Linked DNA regions of Arabidopsis thaliana. The protein of the gene in region 1 purifies or fractionates together with the protein of each later gene. This does not show direct contact. Each region holds a gene or a part of one and is shown in the gene's direction. Other genes may lie near its edges.

The links.
Region 2: the proteins of MAC3A (region 1) and AT3G49830 fractionate together in Arabidopsis thaliana (co-fractionation; one large-scale study listed by BioGRID). This does not show direct contact.
Region 3: the proteins of MAC3A (region 1) and AT5G25757 fractionate together in Arabidopsis thaliana (co-fractionation; one large-scale study listed by BioGRID). This does not show direct contact.
Region 4: the proteins of MAC3A (region 1) and AT5G25754 fractionate together in Arabidopsis thaliana (co-fractionation; one large-scale study listed by BioGRID). This does not show direct contact.

The regions. Positions count from the first base shown.
Region 1 is NC_003070.9:1,224,686-1,231,685, forward strand, and holds MAC3A (MOS4-associated complex 3A), read left to right. Parts: upstream 1-1,797; 5' UTR 1,798-2,063; coding exon 2,064-2,076; intron 2,077-2,166; coding exon 2,167-2,252; intron 2,253-2,401; coding exon 2,402-2,473; intron 2,474-2,561; coding exon 2,562-2,624; intron 2,625-2,894; coding exon 2,895-2,981; intron 2,982-3,130; coding exon 3,131-3,272; intron 3,273-3,360; coding exon 3,361-3,482; intron 3,483-3,645; coding exon 3,646-3,762; intron 3,763-4,020; coding exon 4,021-4,116; intron 4,117-4,211; coding exon 4,212-4,271; intron 4,272-4,368; coding exon 4,369-4,443; intron 4,444-4,547; coding exon 4,548-4,652; intron 4,653-4,818; coding exon 4,819-4,938; intron 4,939-5,031; coding exon 5,032-5,109; intron 5,110-5,207; coding exon 5,208-5,292; intron 5,293-5,379; coding exon 5,380-5,431; intron 5,432-5,617; coding exon 5,618-5,688; coding exon of another isoform or gene 5,689-5,694; intron 5,695-5,779; coding exon 5,780-5,907; 3' UTR 5,908-6,262; downstream 6,263-7,000.
Region 2 is NC_003074.8:18,480,150-18,484,797, forward strand, and holds AT3G49830 (P-loop containing nucleoside triphosphate hydrolases superfamily protein), read left to right. Parts: upstream 1-2,099; 5' UTR 2,100-2,233; coding exon 2,234-2,985; intron 2,986-3,121; coding exon 3,122-3,791; 3' UTR 3,792-3,831; downstream 3,832-4,648. Other genes in the region: AT3G49820 (uncharacterized protein), read left to right, coding at 1,088-1,573; AT3G49840 (transmembrane protein (DUF2215)), read left to right, coding at 4,402-4,513.
Region 3 is NC_003076.8:8,964,500-8,969,877, reverse strand, and holds AT5G25757 (RNA polymerase I-associated factor PAF67), read left to right. Parts: upstream 1-2,237; 5' UTR 2,238-2,417; coding exon 2,418-2,771; intron 2,772-2,902; coding exon 2,903-3,882; intron 3,883-3,973; coding exon 3,974-4,067; intron 4,068-4,159; coding exon 4,160-4,231; intron 4,232-4,318; coding exon 4,319-4,363; 3' UTR 4,364-4,733; downstream 4,734-5,378. Other genes in the region: AT5G25770 (alpha/beta-Hydrolases superfamily protein), read left to right, coding at 59-205, 283-380, 466-570; PEX4 (peroxin4), read right to left, coding at 705-793, 1,346-1,475, 1,558-1,806, 1,890-1,895.
Region 4 is NC_003076.8:8,951,468-8,958,232, forward strand, and holds AT5G25754 (RNA polymerase I-associated factor PAF67), read left to right. Parts: upstream 1-1,907; 5' UTR 1,908-2,096; coding exon 2,097-2,450; intron 2,451-2,581; coding exon 2,582-3,561; intron 3,562-3,652; coding exon 3,653-3,746; intron 3,747-3,838; coding exon 3,839-3,910; intron 3,911-3,999; coding exon 4,000-4,044; 3' UTR 4,045-5,872; downstream 5,873-6,765.

The DNA.
Region 1 (7,000 bases):
GTGGAGAAAATAGTCCCACCTAAGTGATGACTTGGTTGACCGGTAAAGGAGTTTGACCCAATTCTTTTTGTCGCGATGATTTTTGACTTTCTGACTGAAACTTGTGCTAAATTAAGCCTTCTATTTATAGAATTTGGCTTTTCTATTTTATTTTTAGCAATTTAATTTTTCATTTTCTATTTATTTACTTGGTTGGGTTTTTTAAATGCTGGTAAGAAGTGGAAAAGAAGAGAAGGAGAAAAAGAGACCAGGTCAGTGAAAATTTTGAAAATAAGAGATAAAGATCGTACTAAGTCAAATGTATTTATTTTATGGAAATTTCGAGGGGAAAAAAAATGTTACGTGATGCTTAGTTAAATTCGGAAACTACAAATTTCATATCAAGATGGTTTCTCTCGATAAAAATTCGTTACAGTGATAGTTTTAGCATACCATGCTTCGAGTTGTCGTTTTCTATATATGTTGTTTTCCTTACAACCATAACCAAATAATGAACTGATCATACAAATGAAAAGATACTTTTATAGATCGGAATATATATCGACTTAGATAACGTAAATAAAGGTACACCAATGTGATTTATAGATTATATAGTCATCAACACCATATATGAAACTTTAACAAAAAAACACCATATATGAAACTACAATTTTTTACGAACATGGTCTTACCTTTATTTTATCTTTTTTTTTCGTATAAAGAATTCCCAAACTATGAAAAAATGTCAGCTAGGTGAATAATCTAACTTTCATGGACTATTACTCAGCTAAGTTCAAAATATCCCTTCACTTCAAAACTTCTAAAAACAACTTTCATTGACTATACGCATTAATTAATTACTATTGTAATTACGACGATTTTTTTTTCGTTCTCCTCTAGCTTTTTTTAGTTTATTTGTTTTGGTCATGGTTGGGAACGGGACATCATCACATCACTTATCAACATTCTATTTGGTCCCCAACTCTATGAAGCATTATTTGAAATCATTAGCATGACTATCTAAGTTTTTTTTCTCCTGATATTTATCCAAAATTTTATTTCATTCAAATTGTTTAACAATATGTACATATACTATATGTATTATATAAAATACATATCACCACTCAGGCAATTTTTTAAACTTATATACAGTATGTGATAAAATAAACATGGTCATACGTTTAAGAATTGGAAATTAATGAGGTTGCAAGAAATCATTTAACGAGAACAGAATGAAGAGAAAGAAAAAAATAGCAACTTGGTGGCAAAAGGAAAAAGAAACAGCTTGAGATCAAAGCTGATTTGATGAATCGATACTTTGGAGATATATATGAGCATCTTCGGCAAAAGCTTTGGCCTTTGAGTGCAGTGTTACACACACGCATTTTCCAAACGAGATGATTTAAGTTTTGCAGAGCTATCACAAATATATTATAATACCAAACTCTCAGACAATATTATATAAATCGGAAGTCTAATTTTTTTTAATAAAAAATGAAAATATAGTATGACCAATGATTTGTTCATATAAGGTTCTTTTTTCGGCTATGTTAATTGTTGAGAAATGAGAATACTAAATATGCTTTTTATGAGAATACTACTTTTCGGCTATGACTAATTTTTGTTCATAAAGAACACATCTATCGTACGTGCAAATAGAATGGCCCGTACATCGTTGTCCTACCTTATACTTTAAAAGAATTTGTAATCAGAAAAAATAAAAGAAAAGAATGACAAAAAAAAGGGTAAGAATTATACTTTCGAGTTTCTTTTCTCAGACAGAAAGAATGAACGAACATACATAGTTTAACTAATGGGCTTCAGAAAAAAGCCTAATTAGTTATAAATCAAGGTCTCGTTAAAAGGCCCATTTGTTTAACAAGAAATCTCTAACTTGTTGTCCTAAGCTTAAACAATTTTTGCATCTCTCTCTCTTTCCGTCTTCATCGTCCTCCCGGCTTCTGCGATTTTGTTTAGTAGCGCCGGACCGGAGTAGTTAAAACCCTAGCCCAGTCTATTTAAAGATTCACCGAGTAGTCTTCTAGTCCTGCGTATACTTCTTCTTCTTCGTTTATACTTAGAAGATGAATTGTGCAAGTAAGGCACTCTTTCTTCTCTATTTACCGATTTAGGGTTTTATTTTGCTTTGTTTCTGTCGGTAACACTGTGGTCTTTTCTCCTCTACAGTTTCCGGCGAAGTTCCGGAGGAGCCTGTGGTTTCTAAGAAGTCGGGTTTGCTTTACGAGAAGCGGCTAATCCAGACGCATATATCCGTAAGCAAGTTCTTTTCTTTTCTCCCTCGTTCGACTCTTATCTAGGGTTTTCAGCTGTTTAGCCTCTTGCACCTCTCTATTTGCTGCAGATATTTTCTTAATACAGACTTTGTTGTGATAATTTATAGATTGCTTTTGGTACCTTGTAGGATTATGGGAAATGCCCGGTTACTGGTGAGCCACATACTCTTGATGACATTGTTCCCATCAAAACTGGGAAGGTAATGCAACCACTGGAGTTATTTGTCACACAGCATTGTTTGTAGAAACTTATTTAAGCCTGATTCGATCTCCGGGACCATTTTGCAGATCGTAAAGCCGAAACCATTACACACAGCTAGCATCCCTGGATTGCTTGGAACGTTTCAGACTGTAAGTTCTTATTTTGTATTCCCTATACCTTCTTTTTCGTTTCTGAATTTTGTTCTCTGTCTATTAAGGATCATATAGAGTTAAAATGGATGAACTTGATTTGGGTATGCATCGCTATCTGAGTTATTTAACATAGCAGATTGCATTCTACTCTTTACATTGAATTATATGTTCATTTGTTACTAATAGCAAGACGAAAGTGTTCGCTGGTTATTTTTACTTTAGGCAAAAGAAATGCTTAAAAAGTTTATCTGTTTGTTGTGCTTGTAGGAATGGGACAGTTTGATGCTATCAAATTTTGCTTTGGAACAACAACTGCATACTGCGAGGCAAGAGCTAAGTCACGCTTTGTATCAGGTAATTATGGTTAGGTGCATTTGCCACCACCTTATCAGACTACATGAATTACAAATATCTATTATGTATTCTAGTTTCTTTTCCTGGATGTTTCCATTTATTTCTTGTGATAAAAGGTGATTGATGGGGGATACACTTTTCCTTTGCAGCATGATGCTGCTTGTCGTGTGATTGCTAGGCTTAAAAAAGAAAGAGACGAATCACGACAATTGCTTGCAGAGGCTGAAAGGCAGTTGCCTGCAGCCCCCGAAGTTGCCACATCGAATGCTGCTCTTAGTAATGGTAAACGAGGTATGCTTGCACGTTTGCTTCTCAATGTAAGTTGGCTATGTGGTAATTTCTCTTATAACAAGCTACTATGTTTTTGGTTGCAATATAGGTATCGATGATGGTGAGCAGGGGCCTAATGCAAAGAAAATGCGTCTTGGAATTTCGGCTGAAGTTATCACAGAACTCACAGATTGTAATGCTGCTCTTTCTCAGCAGCGTAAAAAGAGACAGGTAACTGCATATATCAGTATATTAGTGGAAATAGAAGGCAAAAGAGAATTACATATATATATAGTTTGTCTGTAACATACAATGGATATCTGCACTTTTGGAGTTCAATTAGATTTGCGAGTGGTTCTTCTGTCTTAATAATTTCTCCTCATTGGTTCTCTAGATCCCTAAAACATTGGCTTCAGTCGATGCTCTGGAGAAGTTCACCCAACTCTCAAGCCACCCCCTTCACAAGACCAACAAACCTGGAATTTTTTCAATGGACATCCTACATTCTAAGGTTTGACACCTAAGAACTTCTCTATTTTCCATTCATCACTTTATGTAGTTTTTCTCTGTCCTGAGAAGTCACTGCATTGAACGTCATAGTGACATGTTTACTTTTGCGCTTACATTATATTGTACACTGCCATGAATCCCCATCTGGATGCTTATCAATATTATTCTTCAGTATATAGATTTTGTACACTACCATGAATCCCTGTGTCTGTTCTCTATTTAGTATTATTCTTAATTTCTCGTTATATGTGGTAATCAGGATGTCATCGCTACGGGAGGAATTGATACAACTGCCGTTCTCTTTGATCGTCCTTCAGGACAAATCTTATCAACGCTGACTGGTCACTCAAAGAAGGTCTGTCTTTTACTGTATTCTTTTTTTATATTTCATTTTCTTTTTTAACTTTTCCTTTGTAGTTTTGTGCTTGACATGCATTGTTCCTTTTGCAGGTTACAAGCATCAAGTTCGTTGGTGACACTGATCTTGTGTTAACTGCTTCATCCGACAAGGTAAGCTAAGGTTATGTGTACAAGCTCCTTTGAGGATTGCATGATTTTATGGAGTAGTAGTGAAGAGATTAACTTCTCATTTCTTAACACTCTGCAGACAGTCCGCATCTGGGGATGTTCCGAGGATGGGAACTATACCTCTAGACATACACTGAAAGATCATTCTGCCGAGGTAAGGATGTAACTGAAGAACTTCTACAGGCTACAGTCTCATACAGTTTTACGTTTTATTTATTTTTGGTCTGTTTAACGTAAAAGCAATGATGTGGTTTTCAGGTGCGAGCTGTAACTGTCCACGCAACGAATAAATACTTTGTGTCAGCATCACTTGACAGTACATGGTGCTTCTATGATCTGTCCTCCGGTTTATGCCTTGCTCAGGTCTCCAAAATTTTAATCCACACCTGATACCTGTTATCCAGTTTCAGATTTCTTCTTTTATGCTAATATAACAATGAAACATTTACCTTCTTTATTGTAATGTGAATTAGACTCGTTAGAATAAATGTTTCTGCCATGCGTCTTTCTCATTATTGTTGTTATTCAGGTGACAGATGCTTCCGAAAACGACGTGAATTACACGGCTGCTGCTTTTCATCCTGATGGTCTCATTCTTGGAACTGGTACCGCTCAATCTATTGTTAAGATTTGGGATGTAAAAAGTCAGGTAAAAACTCTTTGACCTTCCTTGCTCATCAACTGTTGTCACTTGTAAGTTTGTTCTCACTTCACTCTCATCTCTATCTCTGTCGTTTGATAGGCAAATGTGGCAAAGTTTGGTGGACACAATGGAGAAATCACCTCTATATCATTCTCTGAAAACGGTTATTTCCTTGCGGTGGGTACATTGACTGATTGACCTAAACTAAGTAGAAAGAAGGATAGCACCAGGTTCCTTTTGACTGACCAATATTTACTATTCTTTAAATTGTACAGACTGCTGCACTGGATGGTGTTAGGTTGTGGGACTTGCGCAAGTTAAAGAACTTCCGAACCTTTGACTTTCCAGATGCAAACTCGGGTATTCAACTACCTGAGCACTCTTACTAGTCTATTTTGTTGAGTGAGTTTTCATTTCTTAAGGCCTGAATGAGCTTTTTTTGTGCAGTGGAGTTTGACCATAGCGGATCTTATCTTGGCATTGCTGCTTCAGATATAAGGTGAGGTCTACTTTGATACACAATGTTGGGAATTAATTGATATAGGAGCTCACTTTGATAACGAGATATTGAAAGATAGTTGTGCAAACTCAATTAACCTGCTATCACCAGAAATGCAGTTTGGGTATATGTATACGTTTCTTCTGCAAATCATACTAATCGAAAACTTGTGCTTCAATGTTGTAGAGTATTCCAAGCAGCTAGTGTAAAAGCAGAATGGAACCCAATCAAGACTCTTCCCGATCTGTCCGGTACAGGTAAATGCTACATGTTAAGCTTTTGAAGTCACTGCTCTTCCTTGTTTTATTGAGTCTATCATTCAGACATTGTAACTACATAAATGTGCAGGTAAAGCAACAAGTGTTAAGTTTGGACTCGACTCCAAATACATAGCAGTCGGTTCAATGGACCGTAATCTCAGGATATTTGGTTTACCTGATGATGACAATACTGAAGATTCAGCACAAGATTCATGAAGAGATATCTCAAAAGTCTCATCATCAAGAGTAGCTATATCCTCAATTCTCGCGATTTTTGTTGTATCTTTACAGTTCTGTTGGTACTTTCCTGATGGCCCCTCTCACAATCACATATACACACCTGAGCTCTCTCCCTTTCTTTCTCAGTCAACAATTTTCCTGTAACAACATCGTACCTTAAGGATCTGCAGTTGATCTTTCTCTCTTTGATCTGAAAGAGTCCACATAAAACAAAGTTAGCTGCTCACTATAAAAGCAAATGAAGAACAGGCATGTAAATGATCTTCTTCATCATTCAAATCAGTAGGACCTAAACGGCAACAATTAAAAAACTTGTGTTATATAGAAAGGGTCATGAATCTTGAAGACAATGAAATGAAGACAAAAAGATTGTGATGGTGGTCATAGAAATTAGAAAACCCTGAGACAGACAGAGATTTTGACTGTACTGTGGTCAAAACACACACTTCACAATCTTCCCATTCCCCCACCAATCTCAGATTCCTTTTCACTTCCTCCAACTCTTTCTCTCTCTCTGGCCTTTTTTTTTTTTTTTTTTCCTATTTATAGCTCATCTTTAGTAATTCCGTTATTGGTTAAATTTCCTAAACATGTTTTTGGTATCAACAATCAAGTAAGTGCAAGAAAGTTTGTATCTTTCTCTAAACCCAATTTCCAAAGTAACCAACTACTAAACCAGAATGTTACACAAAGTAAGTCACTAAATGACTTTAAAAACAAGATTAGACTTTAAACTAGATTAGAGACATACTTATTTGGAATAAGATTCAAAGGTCACTAGTAGCTAGTAGGTGGTAAAAAGGAAGCTAAACAACAAATAAACTCTTATTAAAATCTTTCAATCAATAAATATTTATTGTAATTTGCTGCAGTAAATCAAACATTGTACAGTTTCAGAACTGAATGGCTCAGAAGCGTTAAAAGGAAAAAGAGACTCTCTCTCTCTCTCTCTCTCCCCTAATCTCCTCTCACATGGTCATCAAAAGCCAAAGCCAAAGCCAAAAAAAACAAAGAACCCAGAAACCTAGAAGACAGAAACAAAAATCAAAGCTTTACTGAGCCACCAAGC
Region 2 (4,648 bases), on another chromosome or scaffold:
GTGTTACCAATCGAGCCCATGACATCGGTAAACATGAATACACTATAATGCATTGCCTACGCATATGTTTATCTTTAGTATTTTAGGCTTTAGCTCATTTATTTTAACGTTAAAGAAGTGTGAAACAATCTTTTAATAAATGCAAAAGTAGAAGCACGAAGGAATAAAAAAGGTATATACCGCATTCCTACGCGTATTCTATATGTTTGATTTTCTAGCCATTTTAGCTTTGGACTGTCACGTGAGTCGTGACGCTCTACCCCCTAAATCTATGTCTATAGTAGTATGTACATATCAGACACATGCATGAGGCACCTATATATTTGTAAATAAATTATACACTATATGACGTATGGATTCAATGATACCAAGAGTTTTTGCTTGTAACGCCCAAGATTTTCGAAACCTACAATCTAGGATCTAAATAGTGTACCTCCAGTTATAAATTATATTTGTCGCTCTAGATAAGTTAGAGTAATGGCCAAATCTCGATAACAATTTATTTGTGATCTCCTCACATGAATTTCTTTGGAACCAAATTAATCCCAAACGATAGGATTCAATAATCAGTTAAAGTTTTGTAGTATTCGATAGTGGGTTAGAGTAATGTAGTGATGCAAACAAGAGTGCTAATCTATTGGGTCTATACATTGGATCAAATTTAATATATGGGCCGAACTATCATACCAAGCGTCATGCTTTGAAGAAAGTAGTTGAACCAAGCCATTATACCCTTTTAACTACTAACTAACCCATCTCAAATATCCAGATTTAAATTGGTGTCCATATTATATGAAATAAGTTAAGACTGATTTGCCAACAAGGCAACAACACCTTAATAAATTTAAACATCTAACTGAAAGAAATGTATTTAATCATCCAACTAGGTACATTTAAGAATAGATCACATTCATAATTTTGTTATTATCATTTACAACAGTCATCATGGATTTGTCTTCTCTTTGATCCTGTCTTAGTGTCTTGAAATCTTTGAGCATTTCTTCTTCTTCGTCTCTTATAATATATTTAAAAGGTTATATATTTACATATATACAACTTTGATTTCGATACTCTTGAGAATCCAATAATGAAAGCGAAAGTCATAGAGAAAGAGAACTGCTTCGTATGGTTGGTTAAGGCTCCTTTTCGTCTGTTGATCATGGCACGTGACGCCTACATACGAAGCATTACGTCATGCTCCGGCGCCGGAATTTATTCCGGTGGTGGATCATCTGGTTTTGGTCAACTCTCCGGAAACTTCCAAATCTGCGATCCGCCTAGCACCGCCCTTCCTCGAAGCTTTACCTTGACGTCGGCGGCACATGATCAAGGCTGTCTGACACGTGGCGGACAACCTACGATTGCAATGAGACAATCATTGTCCTTGGATCATCGGAAGAACAATAGATGCGTTGTTGTGATGGGAAGAATAGATGAGGAGATGTCTTGTGATGATGATGATGAGTTTCAAGAAGAAGACTCTTTTCTTGATTATGGTAATTGCGAGATTCTTACAAAAGAAATAGAAAAACCATCTGTTGACCAAAAACATAAGCCTCTAGGACGATTTTGATTTTGATTTTTAGGTTTATTATTAGGTTGTTGCATTGTGCTTATTGAGAAATATGGATCAAACACTTGAAAAGAAAAATCATTTTGTATCATTTAATATTATTTCTTGTATTACTTATAATTGATGTTAAAAAAAATTACATACGATTCTAAAAGTGGTGATGCAAATAATTCACATTGTTTTGTTAACAACCAATGCAGTTCTACATGATTTTAATATCATGAGTAATTTCTAAAAACAAATTACAACAAAAATTAATTTCTTTTAACCACAATAACTTCACAAAATTACAAACATAAAATACAAATTCAAAACCACAAGCACAAAAAATAATAATTTAGAAAGTTTATCAATTACTATTTTTGCTGTAAGAAAAAAAGTTTCTCAATTTTATTTTTGTCTGCAATATCTTTACAGATTCCAAAACAAAACAAAAAAACTATCTTTTTATTTATATATATATATATATATATATATATATAAATGTAAACTTCCTCATAAGTAAATTAACAAGAATATATATCAAACAAAATCTTGTAATTTTTTAATATAAATAAAGCTAAACCTTTACGAAGAAGAAAGACTCTGGTGATTGATTCTCCAAAGTCTAAACCTAGTAAAAGCCAAGTCTCATTCCTCGGGTGAACTCAACAACCGACGATGGCAGAACTAAGGTTATCAGAAACTCGAGACTTAACTAGGATCGAAAGAATCGGAGCACACTCACACATACGAGGTTTAGGTCTCGACTCAGTACTCGAGCCACGAGCCGTATCCGAAGGAATGGTTGGTCAAATCAAAGCACGTAAAGCCGCCGGAGTAACCCTCGAGTTGATCAGAGACGGCAAAATCTCGGGTCGGGCTATACTTATAGCGGGTCAACCCGGAACGGGTAAAATCGCAATAGCAATGGGTATAGCAAAATCACTTGGACAAGAAACACCATTCACTATGATTGCAGGAAGTGAGATCTTTTCTTTAGAGATGTCAAAGACTGAAGCTTTAACTCAAGCTTTTCGTAAAGCTATTGGTGTTAGGATCAAAGAAGAGACTGACGTGATAGAAGGAGAAGTTGTGACGATTTCGATTGATAGACCTGCTTCTTCTGGTGGTTCTGTGAAGAAGACTGGGAAGATAACAATGAAGACGACTGATATGGAATCTAATTTTGATTTGGGATGGAAATTGATTGAGCCATTGGATAAGGAGAAAGTACAGAGTGGTGATGTTATTGTTTTGGATAGGTTTTGTGGGAAGATTACTAAGCTTGGAAGATCTTTTACGAGGTCTAGAGATTTTGATGTTATGGGTTCAAAGACTAAGTTTGTGCAGTGCCCTGAAGGTGAGCTTGAGAAGAGGAAGGAGGTTTTGCATTCTGTCACACTTCATGAGATTGATGTTATTAATAGCAGGTTTGTTTCTTGATCTTGTTCTGTATTTGTCAATTGCTTAGTTTTAGGTTTAGGTTAAAAAGATTGCTTCTTTTTCACGTATTGATGCTTTTTCAAGTTCTTATTTGGATTCTTGTTTTCTTTCTGTTGTTTGCAGGACTCAAGGGTATCTAGCCCTCTTCACAGGTGATACAGGCGAGATTCGTTCAGAAACCCGAGAGCAAAGCGATACTAAAGTGGCAGAGTGGAGAGAAGAAGGGAAAGCTGAAATAGTACCTGGTGTTCTCTTCATTGATGAAGTCCATATGCTTGATATCGAATGCTTCTCTTTCCTGAATAGAGCTCTCGAAAACGATATGTCACCAATCCTGGTCGTGGCTACAAACAGAGGAATGACAACAATCCGAGGAACAAACCAGATATCAGCACATGGGATCCCAATCGATTTTCTTGACCGTCTTCTTATTATCACAACACAGCCTTACACACAAGACGAGATCAGAAATATTTTAGAGATCCGTTGCCAAGAAGAGGATGTGGAGATGAACGAGGAAGCGAAACAGCTTCTGACTTTGATCGGATGTAATACCTCGCTTAGGTACGCGATTCATCTAATCAATGCAGCTGCCCTAGCTTGCCTGAAACGTAAAGGGAAAGTCGTAGAGATTCAGGACATTGAGAGAGTTTATAGATTGTTTTTAGACACCAAGAGATCGATGCAGTACTTGGTTGAGCATGAGAGCGAGTACTTGTTTAGCGTGCCTATAAAAAACACACAGGAGGCTACTGCAGGAGAAGAAACAGAACACGAGGCCATGGAAGTTTGAGAATTTTGTTTTATTGCTTTTTCAAGAACTTATTTTTTCACCCCATTTTGTCATGGACTCATGGGACATGGTTGAACAAAAGATGGAATTTTTCAAGTTTTCGAGTTCTCATTGAGAGATAGACAACGTTTTGTACTGTGTTTTTGACGGAGCGATAAGATGGTATGACAAAAAGGTAAGATTGTGGAGACGTTTGAAGGGTTAATTGGTAAGGCTACCTAAGTTCTCACCTAATGTTTGTATTCAATTGGCTGATTATGGTGGAAAGATGGCGGTTTTGTGGGTCGAACAATCTCCTTGTAGTAACAACGGCTATAAGAATAAGATTTGGTGCGCGGAGATTGCTCTTGAAAAACAAGAAAGTTGTGAAATTTGGGGAGAAGTTGAGTGGTTTGGTCATGTGCTTACAGTTCCTTCAACATGTTTTGTTGCCAAGGTTATTGCTGCTACTGTTTGATGATGAATGAATGTGTCACAAAGCTTAAATATGTTTTTTTTTGGTGTATGCAGATATGATGATGACATGGCTTAATTTTGTCTCTTTTATTTATGTGACTGCTTTTACTTTCGTACGATTTCTTCATCCAAAAAACAAAACCCAGAAAAATCGATGAGTGACTCATCATCAGTCATTGTCCGAAGCTCAAATTTCATTGTCGTGATTCTCTTCCTCAACCTCGTCACTTTCTTCTCCCTTGTCTCCTCCAATGAACTTGTCTTTGGTAAGTTTGTGTCGGAATTGAATTATACTTTTAGGGCTTTCTTCAATTCTTTATGGGACTCGAATTTTGTAGTTTAGAATCACCAAATTTCAAACCTTTTTTTACATAATTAAGACAATTGCGATGAATTATATA
Region 3 (5,378 bases), on another chromosome or scaffold:
AATAAGTATGAGGATTATAATTAATTCCTTTGCTTTTTTTCTTCTTCTATGGTTCCAGAAGCAAGGATTGATCTCGGAAAGAACATAATCGACAAAGAACTAGTCGAGAAGGTGTGGAACAGAATAGCTCCTGGCCTAGCTTCGAAGTTTGATTCACCGTACTCATTACCAGTGATTGCTCCACGGCCTCTTTACATCCTTAACGGTGAGCACAATCAATATATATGTATGATCTCACTAACTACCAACAAACTTACAAGTTTTCTCGGATTTCATATGCAGGCGCAAATGATCCTCGATGTCCTCTTGGCGGACTAGAACTTGCGTTAAAGAGAGCTGAAAAGGCGTATAAGGAAACAGCTTCTCCTGGAAACTTCAAGGTAAATCACTGATCTAACCTTTAAACACTATTGCAACCAGATAGAGAATTGAAAAAGAAAAACTTTTGATGTTTCGAGAGAGCAGTTCAAAGCAGAAGATGGAGTTGGACACGAAGCGACGAGTTTCATGATCAAAGAATCATCAGACTGGTTTGACAAATTCCTTAAACAAGAAGATATGACAACTTGACAGATTGTAATATTGTGAACTAATAAAGAAGAATCATCTTCTTCTCGTTAATAATGTATTCACTCTCGCAAATCAATATCATTACAAATTTCAAAAAAAAAAACAAAAAAAAAGCAAGAGGATCATCATCATCATCATCCTTTCTTAGGCATAGCGGCGAGGCGTGTATACATTTGTGCCATTGAATTGAACCCTCTCACATCACCAGATCTTAGAAGATTCCCTTTTTTCCATAGCAACCACAACAAAAGCGTCAGTAGAAAAAAAAAACAGTTGCTTACTATAAAAACTAGGCATGGGCATAATAATCAAACTGAAAGAACCGAATCCGAACTGAAGCAACCCGAATCCGACCCGAAATGGTAAACTACTCAAATAGATCCTAAATTCTAGAACCAAAGTAATTAGAACTGAACCCGAACCGAACCAAAATATTTTGCGTATCCGAAATATGATTATATATCCAAAGATATTAGTTATTTTTAGTTTGAATAATCAAAAATACCCAAATAAGGAAAAATATATAAAAACACCAAAATATCCGGAAAAAAAGACAAAAAATATCTGAAATATTCGAAATAAAATATTCTAATGGATCCTAAACTTCAGAACCGAACCCGAACCTGAACCGAACTGAAACTGTTTCGGTTCCTATATGGATCCTAAAATCGAGAACAGAAAGAATCGGAACCGAACTAGAACCGAACGGGAACCAAACCGAATACCCGAACGCCCATGGTTACATTTTTGAAAACACTAAACTAGCATTTTGTACCTGAGTCGCAGTTAAGAGGACTGTCCGGCTCAGGATGAGCCATCAATGCTATGATAGCTCTACACACAGACTGAAGCGTCCAAGCAGGACTCCAAGCATTCTTCAAAATGTCGAGACATATTTCTCCTGTCTACAAAATTCCCAAGTACTAACTAAAAAACCTGCGTTTCCTTTTATCACAGGAGAAGGTTGTTATAAAAAGAGATGCAAACCTTGAAATGAACATTAGGATGGAATATCTTGGTCAAGAATCGAACTTGAGGAGGTTGCAAAGGATAAGGTTCAGGAACAGAAAAAGCAAGCTGAAAAACACCGCCTTCGTAAGGAGTCTCCGAAGGTCCTTTGATAAGAGCGGTCCATTTGAATATGTTGGTATCGTCACAGATCAATTGAATATCAGGATCTGCTACTTTCTCTCGCTGTACCTCTTTGTATTCTTTAAACAGTCGCGCTCTTGATGCCTATTACATCAATCAAATCAAATCAAATCATAAACATACACAGAGAATTTGCAACAAAACAAAAAAAAAATTAAGCAATTTACCTGCATCTCTAATTTCCCAAAGAGAACGAATTGTCAACTGCAAAAAGATCAATCTAAAATCAAGAAGAAATAAACCCTAATTTCTTGTAATTCACAGACGCAATTATCAGATCCCGTAACAATCTCAATGATTAGGTGAAAAGTGTTTTATACAAGAACAGTGATAATTAGGGTTAAGCAATGACTCTGCTTTAAGATCTAGAAAGAAAGACATAGGAGGGATGCGAAACTATAATTGAACATAAAGAGGACGAATCAACGAAGCTTTACCTGCAAATATGAGAGCGAGAGAGAGAGAGAGAGAGAGAGAGAGAGAGAATAGCGATGATTATGTGAAGTTTTTTTTTTCCGAACCATAGAAAGTTTTATTAAAATGACTTTATAAAAAAACATAACCGGATGATAGAACCGGTGGTAATAAGGAAACGAAACCGGATGATAGAACCGGTGGTAATAAGGAAACCCTAGGCGGTGGTAGTGAGTTAAGAGCTAACATTGTTGCGGCCGCTAAGAATTGATCCGGCGAGAATGGCGAGCAGCAATGAGTATGAGGAAGGTCCGGGGGAGAGGGAGAGTGGGTACGACCCAAATATGGTGCCGGATTCGGTGAAGTCGTTCGTGTCACACATGTACAGACACATAAGGGATAAGAACGTGTACGAGATCCACCAGATGTGTGAGACATCGTTCCAGAGCATATCGGAGCGTCTGTTCAAGGACACGCCGTGGCCAAGTGTGGAAGCGATTGCTCCTTACGTAGACAACGACCATGTGTTCTGTCTTCTGTACCGTGAGATGTGGTTTCGACATTTGTATGCGAGGTTGTCTCCGACGTTGAAGCAGAGGATTGATTCTTATGACAACTATTGCAGCCTCTTTCAGGTCTGTTGTGGAATTCTTCTACTTCTTCTTCCTTGTTAGATAGAGATGTTGTTGATTTTGATTTCTTTTGTGTATGTATTGGCTGGGAATAAATACAAGTAAGTAGACCTTCTTCCGTTTGTTCTTTCTAGGTTGTGTTGCACGGCGTAGTGAATATGCAGTTGCCGAACCAGTGGTTGTGGGATATGGTGGATGAGTTTGTCTACCAGTTCCAAAGTTTCTGTCAATTCAGAGCAAAGCTCAAGAACAAAACAGAGGAGGAGATTGCATTGCTCAGACAGCACGATAAGGCCTGGAATGTCTATGGCGTGCTCAACTTCTTGCAAGCACTTGTGGAGAAGTCTTGTATCATCCAGATCCTTGAGCATGACAAGGATGGCCTTGAGTTCACTGAGACTGATGGCTACGATTTCAGCGGTGGCAGCAACGTCTTGAAGGTCCTCGGTTACTTCAGCATGGTCGGTCTCTTGCGTGTTCACTGCCTCCTCGGTGACTACCACACTGCTCTCAAATGGTTGCAGCCCATTGACATCACTCAGCCAGGTGTTTACACCAGTGTCATTGGTTGCCATATCGCTACTATCTACCACTATGGATTTGCCACCCTTATGTTGCGGAGGTATGTCGATGCTGTTCGTGAGTTCAACAAGATTCTCCTCTACATTTTCAAGACTAAGCAGTACCATCAAAAGTCACCTCAGTACGAGCAATTACTCAAGAAGAATGAGCAGATGTACGCTTTGCTTGCTCTCTCCCTCTCCCTCTGCCCTCAAACTAAACTCGTTGACGAGTCTGTCAACTCTCAGCTGCGAGACAAGTATGGTGAAAAGATGATGAGGATGCTGAGGTCTGACGACGAGGCCTTTGGTATTTATGATGAGCTCTTCTCTTACGCATGCCCCAAGTTTATCACCCCTTCCGCACCACCAACTTTCGAGGAACCTCTTGTCAATTACAATCAGGATGCATACAGGCTTCAGCTGAAGATGTTCCTTTACGAGGTAAAGCAGCAGCAGCTCTTGTCGGGAGTGCGGACTTTCCTGAAAGTCTACTCCTCCATTTCTCTTGCTAAGCTCGCAAACTACATGGAAGTTGATGAGCCCACTCTAAGGTCAGGGACTAACTATGGGCATTCTTATAACTATTATTACCAAATCTACTTCTCTCTTTTTCTTTGACATGTACGGGGTTTTAATTTGCAGGACCATATTGTTAACATACAAGCACAAGACCCATTCAGTTGATTCCGATGGTAGGATCATCTCCAATGCAGACATTGATTTCTTCATCAACAACGTATGTTCTTTCTTCTCTCTCTGTCTTTCTGATATCTATACTCTGGTGCTTTTACAACGTTTGTAACAACTCTAAACCTGGTGACACTGCAGGACATGATCTACGTTGTCGAATCAAAACCCGCAAAACGTTATGGTGATTTCTTCTTGCGGCAGATTGCCAAGGTATGTTGTATAAACTGAAACTAAGACTAGTGCACATGAACTCTTGTTTTGATCTTTGGCTCTTCTTTTTTTTCCTCCATTGCGCAGCTTGAAGGTGTGATCAACGACATGGATCGTGTCAAGCTGGAATGACGACTTTTCTGTGTTACACCTAATTATCAATGCCCAATCTGATATGATGCTTTCTCTTATAAACCATAAGTTTACCTGGAGCCAAACACTTTTTGAGTAACTGTCTTCAAATTTCAACCATAAATCATTTTTGTTTTGAATTATTGCCATTTTTTTTTTTCATATTGAGTATGGCAGTTCAGTTTTTGATCGAGTTCCTTTCGAACTATTTGTCCTGTTTCTATATGCCAACGACGAGTTTAGTCTTCAGTAGTACAACTTTTTCCGTTTAAGATGTGCAAGCTTTCTTGTTCTTCTGTTAGAAAATTATATGATTGTCTCAATCTCATCAACAATAGTGAAATTGTAGTGTCATCGAATCATTTATAATTGTTTCATCGCTAATTCATTAAAGTCACTTTCTTCTATAACAAACAAACAGGTGAACAAAAAACCAAAAGAGAACAAATGACGTAAAGTCTTTTACCACAAATTATTTGTTTTATGATGAATCCAAAAAATTGTGTTTTGCTGTTCTGAACGGTTGTATTTTATTATCACAACATTTAGTTAAAAATGTTGACGATTATTTATGTGTTCATGTCTTTTCATCGTAACTTTCCGCTAACATTGCCGGTTATTTTTTTTTTTAGTACATTTTTATCGCAACTTTTCGTTTGTATCAGTCATTTTAATATTAACAGTTATTTTTTGGTGGGGATAACTACTTTTTTCGTTTGTGTCTTTTTATCATAACTTTCTATTTATATAGACGGTTATTTTTTTCTTTATTGTCTTTTTATCGTTACTTTTTATTTGTGTTTTCTCATCGTAACTTTCTGTTAATATCGATGGTTATTTTTCGTTTGTCTTTTTATCGTAACTTCGTAAAACAATTGACGGTTATTTTTTTTTGGTTATATCTCTTTATTGCAACTTTCCGTTATAATATTGACGGTTGTTTTTCGGTTGTGTTTCATATATCGCAAATTTCCGTTTAAATATTGACGATTATTTTTTTTTTGTATCTTTTTAT
Region 4 (6,765 bases), on another chromosome or scaffold:
ATGTTCCTTACACGAAAAGTTTTGTCTCGTCATTTTTACGAGGACTTTTTAACGTCTTGATCCATAGATGCCGAAGGAAATTTGCTGAGAAGCCAAACTAAAACAACCCCAACAAGAGCACCAGAGAGATGCGCAATGTGATTAACAGTTTGTAAAGAGTATCCACCATATATAGTTCCTGATAATCCAGCCGACGCCTGAGCTGCTTCCATTACCTATTCAGATCAATTAACTAAACAGTTATCGTCCCTGAATTCGAAGAGCTTCTATATTGCATACATCATCAGACATTTTCTCTCATATATTGTATAAAAACCTCATTATACTCATAAGAAGATGGGACTGTAAGCCGGAATACGGTTATAACGGTAGTGATGCTGTGAGTAAATTTTGAGAAAATCTTACCCTCTCAATAACGAACTGACCCAATATAAGAACTTCAAGGATTTTCCTCCAATCCCAAGACATCTAGACAATCAAAAGAAGTTGAATATTAGCAAGATATTACTGAGGAGTTTGATTTACAAGGAGAGAAGAAAACTACAGTACCTTGACGAGGACACTGATAGCAAATAACCCAAAAACAGCTCCCGAGGCACCAACAGAAACAGCATTTCTCGGTAAAACTAACCAAGAAACAAGGTTAGCTCCAACACCAGTGAACAAGTAGGAGAGCCACAAACCAAAGTTTCCTTCTTCTTCTTCAACAAGCTTTCCTGATTCCCAAATGTGTCCATTAGCTCTCTGAATCGATAAACTAGCTAGAAATTCAAACTATGAGAAAATCTTGAACTCTCACCAAATATGTACAAGAAAAAAAGATTGCTGGAGAGATGGTTCCTAGAATCATACATGATACATAAAAAAAAAACCAAGAATCAGGAGAAACATCAACATAAGCCACAGAGAAAAAAACTATCATAAGTGTTGTTCGTTTGGTAGTCACAGGATGCCTGCGACTGCGACTGAAAGTTGATCGTTTGACAGTCGCAAGATCCTGCAACTAATCGCGCGATCAATCGCTGCGGCTTGCGACTGAATTTTTTGATCGCATGAAAAAAGAGCGACGCGGCTTTTTAAATGGCGATTAATCGCAGCGATTGGTAAACGAACAACATCCTGCGATTTTAAAATCGCAATCGCAATCGCAGCCACAGCCACAGCCGCTAGCGATTATGAAACGAACAGTGCCAAAGTAAAAAAGAAAGAAGAGAGCTCTCTCACCAGTTAGCATGACAGAATGTAGCCGTCACAAACTGATACCATGCCGGAAAATTGTGATACAAATACAAAGATTTGATCCCACGAACCTAAATCGAATAAACAATATAAAACGTATGATAAGATAAGCACGTCACAATCCAAAGAGATGGGATTACACGAATAACGTTTTACAGTGTAGATGATTGATATCTAAAGACAAGCTTTCATACCTGAAAGAAGTGATCAGCAAGATATATGCCCAGATTGATAAGTATGATCCAAAATATGCCATTTGCTCGCTTTTGTGGTTTTCGATTGTCTTTTGCTTTATCCAATTCAAATTGTGGCGTAATATCTGCAAAACTTACAATGATTTCGTTGAAGATGAAGAAGATGTTGCTAAGAATCTAATACAATCACTTGGAATGTTTCATTAGATCGAAAAAAAGAAAGAAAAAACGATAAGTCTCACCGGATTGGCTGAATCTGCAAGTTATTTGAGATCTAGAGACTGTGAGAGGACGAAACTGCAGGGGGGGTTGAGTTGAGTTAGTTGGCGACGAAGCTGCACGTCGGCGATGTAAAGGCGGGAATCTGAAACGAAGAGATGATTGTGGAAGAGAGAGACGGTGAAGGTGAAGAAGCTGAGACATTGAGATTTGAGAGAGAGTCAGAGTACACAAAATTAATTTCGATTCAGTTTTGGTCTAATTCGGTAAAATAGATAAACAACCGAAAAATAAATCGAGATATAAACAAACCGGTGGTAATCGTTCATTTAGTAGTAAAAGCAAACCGGAGGATAGACCCGGTGGTAATAAGGAAACCCTAGGCGGTGGAAGTGAGTTGAAGAGTTAACATTGTTGCGGCCGCTAAGAATTGATCCGGCGAGAATGGCGAGCAGCAATGAGTACGAGGAAGGTCCAGGGGAGAGGGAGAGTGGGTACGACCCGAATATGGTGCCGGATTCGGTGAAATCGTTCGTGTCACACATGTACAGACACATAAGGGACAAGAACGTGTACGAGATCCACCAGATGTGTGAGACATCGTTCCAGAGCATATCGGAGCGTCTGTTCAAGGACACGCCGTGGCCAAGTGTGGAAGCGATTGCTCCTTACGTAGACAACGACCATGTGTTCTGTCTTCTGTACCGTGAGATGTGGTTTCGACATTTGTATGCGAGGTTGTCTCCGACGTTGAAGCAGAGGATTGATTCTTATGACAACTATTGCAGCCTCTTTCAGGTCTGTTGTGGAATTCTTCTACTTCTTCTTCCTTGTTAGATAGAGATGTTGTTGATTTTGATTTCTTTTGTGTATGTATTGGCTGGGAATAAATACAAGTAAGTAGACCTTCTTCCGTTTGTTCTTTCTAGGTTGTGTTGCACGGCGTAGTGAATATGCAGTTGCCGAACCAGTGGTTGTGGGATATGGTGGATGAGTTTGTCTACCAGTTCCAAAGTTTCTGTCAATTCAGAGCAAAGCTCAAGAACAAAACAGAGGAGGAGATTGCATTGCTCAGACAGCACGATAAGGCCTGGAATGTCTATGGCGTGCTCAACTTCTTGCAAGCACTTGTGGAGAAGTCTTGTATCATCCAGATCCTTGAGCATGACAAGGATGGCCTTGAGTTCACTGAGACTGATGGCTACGATTTCAGCGGTGGCAGCAACGTCTTGAAGGTCCTCGGTTACTTCAGCATGGTCGGTCTCTTGCGTGTTCACTGCCTCCTCGGTGACTACCACACTGCTCTCAAATGGTTGCAGCCCATTGACATCACTCAGCCAGGTGTTTACACCAGTGTCATTGGTTGCCATATCGCTACTATCTACCACTATGGATTTGCCACCCTTATGTTGCGGAGGTATGTCGATGCTGTTCGTGAGTTCAACAAGATTCTCCTCTACATTTTCAAGACTAAGCAGTACCATCAAAAGTCACCTCAGTACGAGCAATTACTCAAGAAGAATGAGCAGATGTACGCTTTGCTTGCTCTCTCCCTCTCCCTCTGCCCTCAAACTAAACTCGTTGACGAGTCTGTCAACTCTCAGCTGCGAGACAAGTATGGTGAAAAGATGATGAGGATGCTGAGGTCTGACGACGAGGCCTTTGGTATTTATGATGAGCTCTTCTCTTACGCATGCCCCAAGTTTATCACCCCTTCCGCACCACCAACTTTCGAGGAACCTCTTGTCAATTACAATCAGGATGCATACAGGCTTCAGCTGAAGATGTTCCTTTACGAGGTAAAGCAGCAGCAGCTCTTGTCGGGAGTGCGGACTTTCCTGAAAGTCTACTCCTCCATTTCTCTTGCTAAGCTCGCAAACTACATGGAAGTTGATGAGCCCACTCTAAGGTCAGGGACTAACTATGGGCATTCTTATAACTATTATTACCAAATCTACTTCTCTCTTTTTCTTTGACATGTACGGGGTTTTAATTTGCAGGACCATATTGTTAACATACAAGCACAAGACCCATTCAGTTGATTCCGATGGTAGGATCATCTCCAATGCAGACATTGATTTCTTCATCAACAACGTATGTTCTTTCTTCTCTCTCTGTCTTTCTGATATCGATACTCTGGTGCTTTTACAACGTTTGTAACAACTCTAAACCTGGTGACACTGCAGGACATGATCTACGTTGTCGAATCAAAACCCGCAAAACGTTATGGTGATTTCTTCTTGCGGCAGATTGCCAAGGTATGTTGTATAAACTGAAACTAAGACTCGTGCACATCAACTCTTGTTTTGATTTTTGGGTCTTTTTCTTTTTTTCCTCCATTGCGCAGCTTGAAGGTGTGATCAACGACATGGATCGTGTCAAGCTGGAATGACGACTTTTCTGTGTTATACCTAATCATCAATGCCCAATCTGATATGATGCTTTCTCTTATAAACCATATGTTTACTTAAAGCCAAACACTTTTTTGAGTAGCTGTCTTCATGTGGTCAAATGATAACCATAAATCATCTTTCTTATGGATTATTGCTAGTTTTTTTTATTGAGTATGGCACTGAAGATTATAACCAATCTCGAGTTTCTTTCGAATTGCTAGTTCAAAAACATTGAAAGTATTCAAGGTTATGAAAATTTTAAGTCACCACTACTTGCCAACAGAATGGTTTTAAAGTCAAAGTAGAATAAATTGCTATTTGACTTTTATGTATCATAGTAACTACAGGTCTGTTCTTCGTTCTTGCTGATTACAGAATACACAGGAGTTAATCTTTTTCATCATCTTCCAAAACTATTCGACGTATACATGGTGATAAGTATCAAGCCACCAAACTCTGATTAACTTATCGCCGATCAATGTACAAACCAAAGGAGACGCCTAACATATCATCTTGGTTAGCTCATCATCTACCATTCTCACGCAGAAGCTTCTACATCAATCAGCATAAAGAATCTCTAAACAATGAGATCATCTATATAAGCAGCAATCCCCACTTGCATCTATTGCAGATATTATTCTTTTTCTTCTAGCATCTCGTCACACGTGCATATTTCTCCCGCACATGTGCTCTCTTATCACATGGTTCCCCTGCTGGATTGCTTCACCTTCAAGTCATACGAATACGTTGTTTTCTTTTGAAACGTTGCGGCAACAAAGCAACCGTACGCTTGTGTCTCCCGGGGATGTCTTCGAGCTTGGTGATAATAGGTTTTTAGGGTATCAATTCCTAAAACACTATCATATCGTTGTAATACTTAAGGTTGTCAATCCAATCTGGTGTGATGCAAACAGATGAGATATAATCAGAATTTACTAAGTCAAGCCAAGCAGAGAGTTGTCAGTTTCTAATAATCTTAATGTCGATTAACATAAATGAAATGAAACTAAAATGTGAAATGGCAATAGCAAGTAGATGAATAACAAAGCAGATGAGATAACAGACAATCAAATGGATAAAAGATTCCTAAGGATGAAGTAATCGAATAGCGTGATCTCCTTAATCTATTAAGATGGTTGATAAAACTTCACATAAGTTATCCCTACAACAAGTTCAGTAACAGATTAATTCACTACCGTGATAGAAATCCTCAAGTAAAGCTAGACACTGACCTAATCACCATTAGCGATCTCTAACTAAGCAGGCAATATCAAATCAACTTGTTAAAGCCAATACACGCTCTAAATGGCAATTGCCTTGGGATATAGACGAGTATCACTGCAATTAGTAGATCCGACATTCCATCGAACACTTTTTGAGTGCGGGAATGTCATGATTCATGTTCGAGTTGATCAGAAAGAAACAAGCAATAAGCGCAACTAATCCAGAAGAGATTCAAATATTCTAGACTCAACCAATGAAATTGGACATGGTGGATTTGGTAAAAGTCTATAAGGACCGTTAATATTGAGATTTTGAAATGTGAAAAAGTAACCGTCAATATTGAAAAAGACGATAAGATTCGGATTGAGATTTTGTCAAAAATAGTTTGATTCGTGAAAGATTTAAATTCGAACGCAAATTGTTTACCGGCCAATTTAAAATATTTTTGATTTTCATTAATTTTTATGTTAAATTTTAAAATAGAATAATTATAATAAAAATAAAATTTTAAATTTCTAGACACCATAAACAAATATGTTAATAAAATTATTTTTATCCAAAATTATAAAACTAATGTCATATAATCTAAAGATTAATAATCAATTGAGATGGTAAAGTAAAATTGGAATTTTATTTTTGTTGTGGGATCGAAAATAACAACATTTAATTATTTGGGTATTAAATTGCACATTTTTATTACTTTATTTTTTCCCAACCCAAAATTGGGAATTAAACGTCCAAATAAAAATTAGTTAAAATTTTTTTTGGGTTTTTTCCCTTTTAGAAAAGGTTTTTTTACCCCATTTTTATTCGAGATGCTTGACAATTTCATAATTGTTTAATTATTTATATATGTCAAAGTTTTCTAAAGAAGGAAAAAAATCAGAAATGCTATTAGAACATATTAGAGCAAAATATGTAAAAAAAATTGAAAGAACAAGAGCAATTAAGGGGGAAAAAACAAAAATATAATTGCATATTGTGGAATTAAGGAAATGAAAAGGAATGGAATTTAATTTAGATCATGAGATGTGTCAAATAATACTTATCATATTAGTTTTTTTTTACTAATATTTCGATCCACATGTGAACATGTGAGAGCAAAACATTATTTTATCTTTTTTTGTAAAGATAATAATCAACCAATGGAAAAGGGGATAAAAAACAAATTAAAGCAATTGGTATTTTTTTTTGCTAAACATGTCATATATAAAACGAATTAAATTGTATAGTGTGGATTATAAAATTTCGCTAAAGAGTTGTAGATATTTTAAAAGATACGCATAAACGGAATTAAGTAATGGAGTTTGCAAGAACAAAGAGGATGTTGTGGAGATTTTTTCTTAAACAATTACGTCTAAGCAAGCAATGGAACTATGGAAGGAGTAAAGAAAGCAAAAGAAAGCGAGTAACCAAATGAAAATCGTAAGCAAACAACGAAACAAGTAGAGAAGTTCATGTAAGAAATAGTGACGACGAAAGTAAAAAAGAAAAAG